Nothobranchius furzeri: one gene and its partner. The protein of the gene in region 1 purifies or fractionates together with the protein of each later gene. This does not show direct contact. Links are inferred from orthologs where the notes say so. Each region holds a gene or a part of one and is shown on either strand. Other genes may lie near its edges.

The links. Proteins that work in one complex are often made in the same cells at the same time.
Region 2: the proteins of ptpro (region 1) and dnajb11 purify together in Homo sapiens (affinity purification with mass spectrometry; 3 studies listed by BioGRID and IntAct, with this or other methods). This does not show direct contact. The link is inferred for Nothobranchius furzeri from reciprocal best matches to the Homo sapiens genes PTPRO and DNAJB11.

Annotation. Positions count from the first base shown.
Region 1 is NC_091741.1:32,996,963-33,001,212, reverse strand, and holds the start of ptpro (receptor-type tyrosine-protein phosphatase O), read right to left. Parts: upstream 2,809-4,250; 5' UTR 2,672-2,808; coding exon 2,471-2,671; intron 1-2,470.
Region 2 is NC_091754.1:36,587,114-36,589,734, forward strand, and holds part of dnajb11 (dnaJ homolog subfamily B member 11), read right to left. Parts: intron 387-2,621; coding exon 254-386; intron 162-253; coding exon 19-161; intron 1-18. UniProt on the Homo sapiens protein: As a co-chaperone for HSPA5 it is required for proper folding, trafficking or degradation of proteins.

The sequences.
Region 1 (4,250 bases):
TCTGTAGCAGCCCCTAGGCTCTGGGATGAGCTGCCTTCGAGCATTAGGTCGGTCTCTACACTGTCTGGTTTTAAATCTCTTTTGAAAACCTACGTTTATGATTTGGCTTTTAACTCAGCATGGGTCTTTTAAATGTTACTCCCTGAGCCAGGGCAGGTGGTCCAGCGGAGTGTCGATGCACAGCATCCTTCAGTATTCTGCGTCGGCCAGAAGAGGTTTAGGTCTGGGGGGGAGGAGGCTGTGGAGGTTGCTTCTTACGGACTACAGACTCCTGCTGGATGGCATCAGATGGTTGAGAGGGAGCCTGGAGGTATCAGCTGGTCGTTCCTCAGCAAGTGGAGAGAAGCGGTTAGAAAGACTGAGGTCAGGGGGGGGGGGGGGGGGGGGCTCTCCTACGGCCACGTACCACAACCTGTGGCCAAGATGAAAAAGGGTCAGGAGCAGAGCTGGAAGTGGGTAGTCGTGGTGCAGCAGGATCCCAAACAGTGGTGTGGTGGAGCAGAGAGTTCTGATTGGACGTTTCTTTTTCAGACGGACTGATAAGGTCTGGGTCAGTGAAGGAAGACGAGATCTGAAACTATCCAGCAGAGAGTCGTCGTACATCCTCTTTAGCATCTGAATCCTCGTCTTTGCTTTAGAAAGCATCAAGCCGTCGTTGTGGGGCGGAAGGAGAGGGAGGACAGACGTTCAAGACAACTTCAAGGTTGCAGAGCTTTAGCTGAGCTGCCTCCGAATCCAGAAATTGGTGAAAGGATAGAAACTGGTTTTGAGAGGAATTAGAGCACAAAAGAAGGAGCTGACGTAAACACGTCTGCAGGCTTCTTGAGGTGATTGTAGTTCATCATCACCAGGGTGAAAGTGTGTGTGTGCATGGGTGAGTGGCTGATTGTGTTGTGAGGCATCTTGGGGGGTTGTAGAACCCTAAGAAGCTATACAAAAAAAACCCATTTACCATTCTGACCAGATGCCTGAGCCACCTCAACTGGCTCCTCTCGCTGTGGAGGGGCAGCGGCTCTACTCCGAGCCCCTCCCAGATGACCTGTAGCCGTGATCTCGTTCTTTCGGTCACTACCCAAAGCTCATGACCATAGGTGAGGGTAGGAACGTAGATTGACCGATAAATCGAGAGCTTCGCCTTCTGGCTCAGCTCTCTCTTCACCACGACAGACCGGTACAACACCCGCATCACTGCAGATGCAGCACCAATCCACCTATCGATCTCACACTCCAGCTTTCCCTCACTCGTGAACAAGACCCCGAGATACTTAAACTCCTCCACTTGGGGCAGGACCTCATCCCTGACCCGGAGAAGGCATTCTACCCTTTTCTGACCCAAGACCATGGTCTCAGATCTAGAGAAGCTGATTCTCATCCCAGCTGCTTCACACTCGGCTGCGAACCGCTCCAGCGAAAGCTGAAGATCACGTTCTGATGAAGCCAACAGGACCACATCATCTGTTAGCATCAATCCATAAAGTGTATAAAACTTTAAACTTTCTTAAAATATTGTTGTTGCTTCTGATCAAAAAGGATGATTGAAGCAATCCCTTCAGCTGATCTGGTCCCCCTCAGGGAGGAGGACCAGGAGGACACCCCCACCCCCCACAGACCCGTTGCTGTGTCGTGTTGAGATGATTGTTGTTCTCATACCTGCCTTTCCTTTAGTTGTTGCTAGGTTACCACGTTTAACCGGGGCGGGTAATTTTCACTTTAGAAGTGGGGGGGGACACGGGGGGGTGGGGGTGGGGTATCTTTACGGTATGTTCTAATGGGAAACAGGCTTCAACACAAACGGTTGTTTTCTGCTTGGTCCTAAAGCTCAACCAGTGTCAATTTAATATAAAGTAATATTGTTTTTGGATGGTAAAAAGCGCAGGGGTCAAAACTTGACTTTGGAAAAAGTGGGGGGGACATGTCCCCCCTGTCCCCCCCCAAAATTACGTCCATGGGCGGGAGGTAAACCCTGAATCAGAAACGCTTTTATTTGTGCTGCATTGATGCAGCAAGAAAAATCCAACTTCTCCAGGTGAGTGAAGTCCCATCACTGAGCGGAGGCCTGTTTCCTTCCTGAATCATAAATAAACAAAAACAATCTGACAGCTGCTGCTCAGAGCTGGACTGGGCCAGAACCAGAATCCACGGGTCTCAGAACCACAGCGTTCTGATGGATCCGGTCAGAGGCCAGAGTTCAGCCCGACCATCATCAACAGACACATCAGAACCAACATCCGGTTCTGATGAGGCAGAAAACAGGCCGGTATGGATGTGGTGCGCGTGCACGCCTGTGTGATGTTCAGTGATGCTGACGAACCTGCAGGATCCAGTCAGGCTGCGGCCGACTGACCCACTTCCTACGGAACCAACGAGCTGCTGGCTGCCTGCGGGCCGAACCGGCGGGTCCACACACACACACACACACACACACACACACACACGAGGCGGTTTCTGACCGAACCCTGCGTGTCCTCACCTGGACGGAGGCGAGCAGGATCCCGGTGAGGAGCAGCGGGACCAGCATGATGCGGGTCCGGGTCTTGGGGTCTCTAGAGTCCGGCCTGCTGGATCTCAGTCTGCTGCATCCAAACAAAGACGGTCCTTCTTCTGCATCGGGCGATGCTCCGCGACCCGAACCGTTGTGAGGTTGCGATCCGCTCCAATGGTTTCGCTTCATCTACATCTTCCTCAACCGAACCGAGCCTGCTGAGACGGACTGGAGATGGGCCGGACTCTAGGGTCCATTCCGGGGGCTGAAGACTAGCAGGAGGTCGGTGTCGGTGAACGGGATGGAGCTGCAGCGCGACGAGGCCCCGCCCTGAGCGGGGGGAGGAGGGAGGGGGTCATGACGTCTCGTGGAGCAGATAGGAAGCCCTGTCCCTGTCAGAGTCCTGATGGGTCCAAGTCTGGGTCAGGACCACTGTACTCTCCACAGGATACCATCTATGAGTAGCTCTGACCCAAAAGGTTCTGGCAGACTGTAAAGACTGGAAAACACCAACAAGTCCTCACACCTGCCAAATGCAGTCTAATCAGAGGGCATTGCTGTCTCAGAGAAAACTAAAATGGTAAATTCCTTCAGTAATCTTTATCAAGTCCAGCCATGTCTTTGCAACAGCTTCACTCGTCTCCGGGGTCTCTGACCTCGACTCAGCTAAGCAATGATTCCCTCTCCACACCCAGTTCCTGTTTCTCCGTTCAGGTGTTTCAGGTAAACGAGGTACTCGGGTTAGATCCTCATAAATCAGCTGGACTGGATACTCTGGATCCTTTCCTTCTGAAATAGCAGCACGTGTTATTGCTGCACTTACCCATCTGTTTAACCTGTCCATACAAACTGGTGCATGTCTGCAGGACTGCTTCAGTTACTCCACTCTTTAAAGTGACCAGTGACGACATGTTTTTTCTTTTTTTTTTGAAAGATGGCGCCGGTGTGTGTGGCAGCTCGTCTATTGCTCCTGAAGCTTTTTTTCTGCTTCATGTTAGTTTTTCTTTCCTTGAAATTTAGCAGTTCTATCCGGGTGTATGATCGTAAAACCTTGCTCGGGATTCGCCAAGCAGCTGAGGGCTTATCGTTCTCTGGAGGTTTTGGTCAGAATGGATCGCCACTACTGGATGGTTCTTTGGGCTGCGTGTGCTACGTGGCAACCTTACCTTGATGGAGGAGGCGCCGGAGACGGGGGAAGCGTGCCGGATGCTGGATGAAGCTGAGATCGGCTCGACGTGGAACGTTGGATGCTGTGTGTGGAGTTGTGGGCTCAGAGGGGGACGGTGGGTCGCCGGAGCACCAGTTGGATCCGGTGCCGTTGAATCTGGCGGCTTCCAGATTGGTATCGGTGGTGTGCGGCGGCGGGATGATACAGTCGCGGCGCCCTGCACCACAGCGGCGAGCGTGCGGGAGAGGAATTCACCGACAAAATCTACTTGAGGTGATATGTGAATCAGCAGAGCCCTCGCCAGTGAATCCAGAAGAATTGACTGTAACAGCATCTTCTTCCGTCATCAGGTTTGCTCTGTCTAACGCCAGATCTATTATGAATAAGACTTTTATTCTGAAGGATTTTATTGAAACAAATGGTCTGGAGTTCCTGTGTGTTACTGAATCCTGGGTCCCTAAAGATGAAACTGCTGCTTTTGTGGAGCTTCTCCTGGATGATTTTACATATTTTAGTGTTCCGAGACCCTCGGGGCGTGGTGGAGGATTGGCAGTGATATTTAAGTCATCAATTATGTGTAGGCAGGTATATCCATCCTCT
Region 2 (2,621 bases), on another chromosome or scaffold:
ATCTGGACTGAGACTCACTTTACGTTGGGACACTCGTCGCACACGGTCTCCTGAGTCATCTGGAAGCGTCCCGGTCCCAGCTGTGTGGTCTTCATCTCCTGTCTGCAGTTACACTTTCTTTTACCAGGAGCTTCTTTGGCTACAGGCTTGTTACGCACAACCTGCACAACAAAGCAGTTCAGCAAATATTCAGAAAACAAGACACAAAACTAGAAGGCTCTGAAGTTTAAAACAACAAGTCAATTAGGAGTACCTCCACAAAGTTCCCCGAGTACACCTCCTCAAGCGTGACCTCCAGATCAAGTATTATGTCATTTCCTCTGGGGATGTTCTTGTCCTGTTGCTGCCGGTTGCCTCCGAACATGAAGCCAAAGTCTCCAAAGAAGCTTCGCATGGAGAGGAGCAATACCAGTGAGTAAATACAGAGGACAGGTAGTCCACACAACAGCTACCATCTGTGGTGACTGTGTTCCACTACGCTTCTGTGTTTGGAGGAAAACTATCCTAAACACAGTTTTGTGACCTTTTGGCTCTTTTGTAGATTTGTAATTCAACAAATTTGTGTAGAATTTGGTCTGTTCTGCTCAAATAATGAAAGTTAACTTTCCAAAAGCCTTGTCCTAATATCAACAATGGTGTTTAGAGTCAGGAAATCTGCATATTGAGGGGAAAGTGTACATTTAAAAAGTACTAAGATGTTTCAAGTAGTTTATTTTTCTTGGAAAAGGAAACATTTGTAGATGAGTTCTGATGCAGCAAATAAGATACACCCAACTGTGTGCAAGATCGGTTTCTGCTGCTAGAGAACACACATCCTTGGGATTTGCAGACATTAAAATATTTAATCCTTTTTTTTAAATCCAGTATGTTGTGTCATGTGGATTGTAGCCTATACTGCCACCTACTGAACAAATACACTAGCATCCTCACCAGACAGGGCTTCCTTCAAATATAAACCATGCACAGGTACACATGTTCCACCAGTCAGTAAATGCACTGGACAAGAGCCCTGGTGGGCCCAGAGTGGGCCCCTACCACAAAAACTGGAGCTTAAAGAGCAAGTCACCCCCAAACAAACTTTTTTTTGCTGATAAACTAAATAAACGAGTGTCTAATCGTGCTGCAGACACGTGTCGTCAATAATTTGACACTTCAGTGCATCTTAGTTAAAATTTAAATATTCTGTCTAAAACTGTCAGTGTTGTGCCGTTGTCAGGTAAAAACTCTGCACTGTATTTTAATTTAAATCTGCCATCGCTATTGGCTAAGAGGTATGCTATGATGTAAACTGGTACATTATGATGTCACAATGCTGTCGTGAGCCTGTGTGTGTGTGTATTTGTTAGCGGCTCCGCCCTCTCGGTCTGCTAGGCAACAGCATGTGTTGCATTTTTCAAACAGGAAGTGGGAGTTGAGTAAGAATCTGGTAGGGGGTGACTTGCTCTTTAAGGACAATATTGGGCCAAGACGCAAATGTCCCGTTTTTAGCTAAATCTAGTAATAAAGCTACATATCAGTGGTTTTTCTTTGTCTGCTGATGTTCTGTTGCATTGTTTGTGGAAACAAAAGATGATCATTTCAAATCTGCAACAAAAAAAATGCATAGCATTTATAAATACCCTCCACAAACCCTACCACACCCAGATTGATCTGAGTATTCACATTAGTATTTGGTAAACGTATGCCTAAGGGCGGTGCGCGGGTGTGAGGGCCTAAAGCGTAACATGCACCCGGGCCCAGCTTGACCATGCTATGGCACTGGGCCATACCTTGGTCTACCCATACTGTAGTTTTCATCAACACAAGGGATCAGGCTCTCCAACCCTGGTGCTTCCTGTCCAAAATTTGATTTGATTTGCTGCTCCAACAAACCCGATTCAGCTGTTGAATTACCTGTTCAACAGGTCATCCAGCTCTCTGGGAGCCTGTTAACCACCTGCTGACTAAAGTCAGGTGCGTTGAAGCAGAGAAACCTCTAAAATATGCTAGAAGTGGATCACAGTTGGGATCCCTAAAGCAGAAATCCAGAATTTTTTTCTCAGAGGCACCATCTAGAGGCAAAAAAAGTATTGCACATAAAACCCCTCCACCTACTCCCATGATTACAGCTACAAGCAACTCTTATTCATGAATGGGCACCTGTAGCCGGTTAATAGAGCTAAGACAGTGTTTTACATTTATTATTTAAGTGGTGGTGGGTTTTATAGATACACATATATCAGGGTTTCCCCCAGGCTTTGCTTACCAACCCGCCAGGCTAAGCGTCATGCCCCACACCCCTCCCCGACCCTACCGTGTCCGCTGACACGAACGGCGCAACGAAACTTGAGCCCTCCATCAGCTGATACTGGTGAGAACGCAAGATAACATATAGTCAACAAAACTGTTCCTGTTTCAAGGCCTTAAGCGTTCTCTTATCGCTTCTACAGGATTCCTCTTGCCTCCGAATAAAAGTGAACATTTTCAGCTCATATGAGTTACGGTAACTAATCATATAATGAAATTGACCATATGGTTAAATGAAATGTTTTGATTAATCTGTGCTTAGAATTAATAAGAATGAAATTAAATATATGACCCAAATATTTAACCAGCGTACGTGACTTGACAAGCACACACTC